Arabidopsis thaliana: one gene and its partner. The protein of the gene in region 1 interacts with the protein of each later gene in a pairwise test. Each region holds a gene or a part of one and is shown on either strand. Other genes may lie near its edges.

The links.
Region 2: the proteins of GAF1 (region 1) and EMB1687 interact in a two-hybrid assay, tested with the Arabidopsis thaliana proteins (one study listed by BioGRID).

Annotation. Positions count from the first base shown.
Region 1 is NC_003076.8:24,145,280-24,150,705, forward strand, and holds GAF1 (Polymerase/histidinol phosphatase-like protein), read left to right. Parts: upstream 1-1,819; 5' UTR 1,820-1,927; coding exon 1,928-2,362; intron 2,363-2,468; coding exon 2,469-2,546; intron 2,547-2,629; coding exon 2,630-2,710; intron 2,711-2,805; coding exon 2,806-2,960; intron 2,961-3,040; coding exon 3,041-4,299; intron 4,300-4,394; coding exon 4,395-4,504; 3' UTR 4,505-4,663; downstream 4,664-5,426. Other genes in the region: AT5G59970 (Histone superfamily protein), read right to left, coding at 1,073-1,384. UniProt on the Arabidopsis thaliana protein: Probable component of ribonuclease P, a ribonucleoprotein complex that generates mature tRNA molecules by cleaving their 5'-ends. May also be a component of the MRP ribonuclease complex, which cleaves pre-rRNA sequences.
Region 2 is NC_003070.9:1,289,376-1,292,674, reverse strand, and holds EMB1687 (ribonuclease P family protein / Rpp14 family protein), read right to left. Parts: upstream 1,376-3,299; 5' UTR 1,326-1,375; coding exon 870-1,325; 3' UTR 651-869; downstream 1-650. Other genes in the region: LIP2 (lipoyltransferase 2), read right to left, coding at 1-134; MEE4 (GRIM-19 protein), read left to right, coding at 1,689-1,903, 2,452-2,523, 2,610-2,754; AT1G04625 (Polynucleotidyl transferase, ribonuclease H-like superfamily protein), read left to right, coding at 2,855-2,981. UniProt on the Arabidopsis thaliana protein: Essential protein required during embryogenesis. Component of ribonuclease P, a protein complex that generates mature tRNA molecules by cleaving their 5'-ends. Also a component of RNase MRP.

The DNA of each region.
Region 1 (5,426 bases):
GGGTCTCCTCTGGATTTAAAAATTAGTCGTAATTAGGCGTGAACTTCTTTTCTCTTTTGCTACTGTGAACTCCGATAAAGACACGAGAGGAAAAAACGAAGATATAGTTTGTTTCAAAACGACTTCGTTGCATTCTGGATCAGAGAGATGACGTGTTGGTTGGCTGAAGACACGTGTACCTCTTCAGGCCCCTGTTTATTTTTCTTTTAATCTTTTTTTTTTTCTAAAAGTAATCAACGTCGTTGTGGTAGAATAGTTTCGGAATGAGATTGATTAATGTCGTTTTGTATCTTTTCAGAATTTGTTATGCAATACGACAATTTATTCATATCACCTTCTTTTAGATCTGTATCCAATTATAGAAATTGGATGATTTGATTCATCAAATTCAAAGAACCCTTAAGATACCACTATCTCCTTTTTAAAATGGATCAAGACCTCATTATCCACTACCACTCGTGGCAAAATGAAAACTATATAAAATCAACACAAAATGGAGGGAAACTAAAATTTACGCGCTAATGAGTAAAGTTGGTTAAAGCTTCTTTACTCTCAACATTTGGACCTGACGTCTTGTCGTCGTTATTTATGGGCTTGGTGATGTTTTATTGGGCTTAAATTTTGTACATTTTAGTGCAAATAAATATTTCGTTCTAAACAATAATAACGAATCGAAAAGCCCAAGACATGTTATACTCGAGAGCCAACAGTCAAGCTGATTTCAACGTATCTCGTCACGCCACGTAGTTGATTAACAGCCGAAGATCGCCGCTGATAAAGAACTAGATTGACGGCTGACGAGTTAATACGTCTGCTCTACTGTCAAATTCACAATTCAAAGCGAGGTAGAAAATTAGAGTCAGAGTCATAAGAGATTATGAGTAATCAAACGAACTTTCACCAAATTGCGTGTTTCCATTGTTGAGAATTTAGCAAATGAAAACACATTACAAAAGCGAAATAGCAAAAAAAGGAAATCAAATCTTGCTACATTTACTAAAATACCTACATTGAAATTCTCAAATCTAATTTCCAGAAACAGATCTCCAAACACAAATCTGAAAAACCCTGATTAACCGCCGAATCCGTAGAGAGTCCTTCCTTGCCTCTTGAGAGCGTAGACAACATCCATGGCGGTCACAGTCTTCCTCCTAGCGTGCTCGGTGTAAGTGACAGCATCACGAATTACGTTCTCGAGAAAGATCTTGAGGACGCCACGTGTCTCCTCGTAGATGAGACCACTAATACGCTTGACTCCACCTCTACGAGCCAATCTTCGAATGGCAGGCTTGGTGATTCCTTGGATGTTGTCTCTCAGAACCTTCCTGTGACGCTTGGCTCCTCCTTTACCCAAGCCTTTTCCTCCCTTTCCACGACCAGACATTTTCTCGAGAGAATTAGATTTCTTTTTTTCGCTACTGTGTGAAGAAGAATTGCTTTTGATTTTCAGATATTGACTGGACGTGTTTGTTTATATATAAGAGGGCTTTTGTTTTCAACCATCCGATTTAATAACCCATCTAACGGCTGTTAAGCTCAATCCTTGTCAATACTGATATGACATGATAGCCGTCGATTGATTTTAATCAACGGTTATTAATTGTGATCCGCATGATAACTACATAAGTGTTCTTCAGAGCTTCGCTTTGTAGTTACTAGTTTGCATGGGCTGGCTTACTTTTTAATGGGCCGGTTATGGATCGAAACCAAACTTCTCTTATTTTCGAATACGCAGGCGTTTCGGTAACTGCCTCATACGTCGTCGGTTGCATAGTAAAATAAATTTATTTCTTTTTCTTCTCTTTTTTTTTTTTTGGTCGTATTTATATTTCTTCTCCTAAAATCGGTGAAGTATCTAAAAACCCGTTATTTAATGCTTAAACCCTAATCGGAAAATCTCTCCGCCACTGTTCTCTCCGACTCACTAATGGGATTCTTCGATCTTAGCATTCCGTACAATGAGCCGCCACGATCAGGTGGTAAGGAAATCGCCGGCGGGAAAACCTTACGATTAAAGCTCGCCACGAAAGCCATGGAGCTAGGCTATGTTGGGATCGCACATAACCGTTCGATCAAAGGCGTAATGTCTGACAAAGACTCTTGTACGATCCCTCTTCTCACTCTTGGGTCTCTAATCAAAGTCGCTCCGCGGTTAGCTTCTTCTGTCGGATTCCATCGCGATTTACTCGGTGTTCCGCGAACTACTCCGTTTCGGCAGTACACGCGTCTCACAGTTCATGTGGAGAGTAATGCTCAGTGTCAGAGTTTGAATTCTGGGAATCCGATTCTAAAGAGTTATGATATTATTGCTGTTAGGCCGATGAATCAGAACGCTTTCGATTATGCCTGTGAGAAAGCTGAGGTTTGAATTTCTCTCTTTTTCTGTTAAAAATTCAATCTTTAGTTTTTGTAGCTCAATTGGAGTTTTTTTAGTTAGGATTTAACTCTTAGCTTGTTTGTTTTCATAGGTTGATCTTATTTCGATAGATTTTACGGACAAGATGTTATTCCGATTGAAGCATCCCATGGTTAAAGCTGCTATTCAGGTTTGTGATTTCACTGTTAGAAGAATCTGTGTGTATCTTATTCTTTTTATTTGCTTCACCTTAATGAATTTTCTTATCTGCAGCGAGGGATTTACTTTGAGATTAAGTACTCTGATATCCTTATGGATGCACAAACGAGGAGACAAGTTATATCAAATGCTAAGGTGAGATTCTGTGGAAAATTTTATTGTCAATTAGTTGATCATGTGAAAGTTTTATGAGAACTTGCTTATACTGTCTTGTGATATGGTGTATCTAGTTACTGGTGGATTGGACTAGGGGGAAGAATCTAATTATATCAAGTGGTGCTCCTTCAGTCACAGAACTTAGAGGTCCAAATGATGTCATAAATCTCATGTTCTTACTTGGACTCTCTGCTGAAAGAGCTAGAGCTGCCATTTCAAAAAATTGTAGGTATGTATCAAATTCGTCTAGCAATTGTGTTATTTGATGCTGCTAAGCGTCATTGAGAATGGATTTTAAATTGCTTTCAGGAATATGATAGCCAAGGTTTTAAAGAAAAAACGGTTTCACAAAGAAGCTGTCAGGGTTGAATTACTTTCTGCTGGTGATACTTTTAGCCTCGAACAGCCTCTGTCTGAAGATTGCATGAAATGGGATCGCCTTTCGAGCGGTGAAGGTGACATGCTTTTGGATGATCTTGCAAAGGCTTTTGATGCCACAAATGTTGTGGCGCACAAATCCTCGAAGGCGATTGATTTCACCTCTGTTCTTGATGGCTTGCCAAAACATGGTTTCCGGGTTAAGGATATTGTAGGAACTGAATCAGTGACTCAGCCTTCTGCAGCTAAGGTGATTGACACTCAGGTGCACAGTAGTAATCAAGTTTCTGAACTACGTATGGCCACAGCTTCATCTGATGATAACCTTCGGGAAATTGAAACCATAAGCCAAATTGACATGCTGATGTCTGAAGATGACAATAAGGTGGAACCTACTACAAATGTCCTCAAAGAAGAAGCATTTGCCCTAAGGAAATGCAGTGCCAGCCATGGCCAGGGGATTTTGGTGCAAAATCAGACGGCTACTCCCTTTACACTGACAAGATGTACAAAGTCAGAAGCAGCGTCGGATGTTAGCATGAATATTGAGTCGACTTCCGAAGGTGGATCAATGTCACCGTCAAAAAGCGATCATGGGATCCCACAAAGTCCTGTTGAAGTGAATAACATGGGAAATGCTGCTTTTGAAGAAGAAGCCTCAGTGGACGAAAACAGCAAAGAAAGAGCTACTACTGGTCATGCTAGTAATGATGAGATGCATATCACTGAGTCTGGACACCACGCATCCATTGATGATGAGAAGCATATCCCTGAGCCTGAACACCTCACATCCATTGCTGATGAGATGAAAATTGATTGTTCTTCGGAAGCAAATCACGACGAGTACATGGAGGTCACAATGGAAGACCAGATGCATGAAACAGGTGACAGTAAGATTATTCTTCCTAACTTATCCTCTGAGACTACCGATTTGCTAAGTGAATCAGGTAAATCTCTCAGTCCAGATGCGGTTGTGCAAGACCATGACGAAGCATCAAGACTAGAGTCCGATGAGACAAAGCTCGAGGAAGAGGCATCAGTTCCAAACCACAACACCTTTGAGATAACAATGGAAGACAATAAGGTCGAAGAGTTAACAATTGAAGACGAGAAGGTTGAAAAGACTGAAACCGAAGCTAGTCACCAAGCCCAAGTCCAATCCTCTGAAAATAACAATGACACAAAATCAGGTACGAGATCTAAGTTTCCTCATTTGCAAATCTAACCTAACACATAAGTTTGGAGTATAGATTTCAGTCTAATGTTATATCAATCCATAATGTAGGTAAGACGCAAGCTAAGAGGAGTAGAGTTCGTTTACCGCAACTAAGGCCTTTCAAGCCTTTTCTACTTCAATCAAGGTTCAAAAGGATCAGTAAAAAAAGAAAACATTGAAGAGCTTGATCATTCTTATAAGTACAAGTTTTGTCCATTAATTTATACCCACGCAAGTCTCGTGGTTTCATTTTTGAACCGATTATAAAATGGGGGAAAGAAAGAATCTAATTTATTCTCTAGAGTTGATTCTTTGTGTACTCGTGTTCAAGAAAAAGGCTTTTAGTTAAAATATTAAAAAGGAAAAAAAAAAGTTAAAAAGATTTAAGAGTGGAGGAGTCGGTAAATCTACCGCCGGCCGACAAAAGTCGGGGACAATGTCGCCGGAGGGCCTACATCTCCCTCCATAGCCATTGCTAAAGAAGAAAGACTGCTCTCTTTCCTTTTTCAAAACTACTTTATTTATAATCTAATTGAGAAGCATTATTCTTCACATTATTACTAATTACCTACTTGTGAGAAAAATTATTCTCTTATTACTAAAGATGCCTAACATTCAAATTATTTTCACTTTTAAATAAAAATAAATGATTTTTGTTACTGTTGGAAAATAATATAGTCTTACAATCAAAGTAACATTTTTTCTTGCAAAATATCAAAAGTGCTGAGAAACTTTTCCATAGCTTTTTTTTTTGGCAAAAATAATTGCTAGTATGTTTTCCTCTAGCTTTTTTTATATACTGACTTATGAGAATGAATGTATGGGTTGATTACTTTAAGTTAGTTTATTTGAGTGGAAGCTTCTTTGATATCTTAAGAATTCTTAAGGTATATAATATATGTTTACCTTTGGAGATTGCTAGTACTTAGCACGATGTGTAATCAACGTGAGAGTATTATGAAATCATCAAAGTAACATGGCCATGTGTTCATTATATGTTTTTCAATGCTAAAAGTTATCATCTTTGTACTTTCTAAATACTTTTGTAAATCAAGTTGGTAAAAGAAAAATCAGACCATTAAGGAACATACTAAACTATAC
Region 2 (3,299 bases), on another chromosome or scaffold:
TGCTGAAGCGAGAGGAGGGTATCTGGAATCTGATGAGCTTTTCTCTCTGAAACTAATTTCTCCTGCAGTTTAAGGGATTTCAAATAGTTGACAGTGCCTAGCTTCCAAACCTCCAAGGTTCTAGGGGATCTCATTTCCTGCACATTAACACAGACTCCATAATTGATCACTTTATCTCTAACTACTTAGGTTATATAGGAAGATTCCAAACACGACCTTTTTTTCCACACAAACTTAATACTACTGATGGGGGTCTAAAAGCATGACTAACACAACAAAAAATTTCCAAAGGCAGCAAACCTAAAATTAGGAATAAAAATCTGAGGAGCTAGGATACAAACCCTATGAATAGTTTTTGGTACCAGGTCTTTGAGGTATTTTATCGAACACTTAACATGCATACACAAAGAAAAAGACACGGAGGATTACCGTAACCGATAAAAACCCATATAAATGATCGTATACATGGTACAAGAGCAAGTAATCGGTAAAGTAAGAGGCTTTGAAGAGCTAGATTACCGTTTCAGTTCTTCTCCTCCACCGAAGAGTTTGGACCTCAGAGATAGGTTCTCTCCAGATTAGAAATTTTGGATTTATTAAAAGCTTCAAAATTCAACGACTTTGCACTTGTACCCTTAAGTTTTCAATTTTCACAGAATTACGCCTTATCTAGAACATATCTCAACAATTCACACCCTCTTATTTTAATTCCAACATATAAAAACCCAGTGATTCAAATCGCAAACAATCTTTTCAGGGAATGATGCTGTTTCTTATCCCTTTGTATTTCAGAATTAAGAAAAATACAAAGATTGTACAATTTCAAAACTTAGGGGTCAAATTCGAAGGAAAAAAGGTCTAGAAAAGTTTCAGTTTTCCAATAGTTTGATCTTCTCAAGAGAAGTATTCATCTGCCTAATCTCCTCTTCAGACAAGCTTTTGCTACACTGCTCAAACTTCTCCTTGTCGCACTTCAAGGCTGTGTCTCTACACGCTCTGATGCAACCGCTAATATCGAGCAAGTTTAAGATCACCGGACAGTTTCCGATGCTTTTGACCAATGTGATTGCTAACCAAACTTGTCTGTGTTCTTCTCTTGATGATCTTACAATGCATAGCTTCGTGATTGGATTCACATATTTCACTTGGAAGGAACCGAGAGACGAACCTAGACCACACTCGCCGAAATTGACGAGGATACTGTCTTTGATTGCTTTCGAGAGATTGAATTGTGTAAGAATGATCGGTGTTCCTTCTCCGAGAAGATCCTTGTCCGGATCCAGAAAAACTTCCATTAACATGTATCTGTTCTTAAATCCCACCATGCTTCTTCGAATCTCCTCGATTTGATGATACCAAGTCGGCGGCTAAAGATATTCTGAACATGTAGTTAGGGCATTTTATATGTAAGAAGAAGAAGAAGATAATCACGTGACTCCACGTGACTTGCTTACTTATGGACTTGGGTCTTTGAACATATCTGAAATGGGCTTAGTTATAGCCCATTTCATCTCATACGACTCCGTGATTTGCTAACTAATGGGCTTAGTTATATGGTCCTAGCCTAGTTAATCTCCAACGTTCCCTTCGTTGTTCATCGGAATCCCTAGAACACTCGATTTCAGCAAAATCAAATCGGATTCAGTGATCAAAAGTCAATTTGGTCGAGAAGAAATTGAGCGTTGAAGATGACGGAGGCGATGATAAGAAATAAGCCAGGAATGGCGAGTGTGAAGGATATGCCGCTGCTTCAGGATGGTCCGCCACCGGGTGGGTTCGCACCGGTCCGATATGCCCGCCGGATATCCAATACGGGTCCTAGTGCAATGGCCATGTTCCTTGCCGTTTCTGGTGCCTTTGCTTGGGGAATGTACCAGGTCGGCCAGGGAAACAAAATCCGCAGGTAAGAACGACTTGTAATAGCTCGTTCACATTTCAATTTTTCCTCTAAAATTCGAGATCGCCTTGGTAAAATTAGTGTTGTGGAGTGATTGATGACCATAGTAATGTAGTGAAGGATACATTTTGGTTAATAATTGTTGAAACTTGAGTATGTTTATCGTAGGAATTGGTTAATATTATTAACCTATGGAAACATAGGCTTGTTGAATCACTGTTATGTATTCTGTTATTAGTATTCCCCGACATTTTGGTTGAAGCTTAATCAGCATGAGTTTAGCCTTAAACGAATATAAAGTTCGTCAACAATTTGTAAACTCTTAAAGCCACAATTGCAAAGATGTGAGAATCTGTTATGATGAAAGCAATTATCTAGTTGCATGTTTTGATAGTAGTTATCGGGATACTGTTTCTATGTAGATAGATTGTTTTAGTATTATATCTGGCTTGATCATTAACTTCTTATGCATTTACAATGGTCCTAAACAAGTCTGATTTGATATCAGTAAGTATCAAGATTAATGCTCTTATCAAGATTGATGTGATGTTTAGGGCATTGAAGGAAGAGAAATATGCTGCTCGTAGAACAATACTTCCCATTCTTCAAGCAGAAGAAGATGAAAGGTAAACCATATTCTCAAATTTAAGTCAATGTGCCTGCAGCAACCTTCAGATAGCAATCTTGTTTCAATCCCCGTTTTGCATTCTAGGTTTGTGTCTGAGTGGAAAAAGTATCTGGAATATGAGGCTGATGTAATGAAAGATGTTCCGGGATGGAAAGTTGGCGAGAATGTGTACAATTCTGGTCGCTGGATGCCTCCGGCTACTGGGGAACTCCGTCCTGATGTGTGGTGATTTCCTAGTTTCTCTCAAATGCATATGATGATGATGAATGATGTTTCGCTGAGGATTGATATGTTCTTGTTATATCTTTTTTTCTTCGGGTAATAAGAGAATGATTCAACAGACAGTATTCTTCTTGTATTGGTTTTCTCTTAAGTGTTTCAATCGTAATATGAGGCAAAAACAGTTTCATGATTCATCAGCAAGCTGCAAGAAATTGGCTTATTTGACAGCTCCAGGTGAAAAATATTCGAAAAAGCTTACCGAGTGAAATCGAACCAAATCATATATAATTATATGTGAATTTAATATCCAAAACAATAAAATTTTGAAAACAAGAGTTCTTGAAAATGAAAAAAAGAGTAAAACCTTTTCAGAAAATAAATAAAATTAAATGCTAAATATAGTACATGAAAATGAGAAAAATATGTTAGATTTGTGAAATCGTTAATGACCATGGTTAAATGGCGGGATCCAAAATCCGGTTAGATTTCACAACGTCATATTAATTTAGTATTTATAAAATCTTTTAAAAAAAAGAAAAAGGAAAAAAAAAG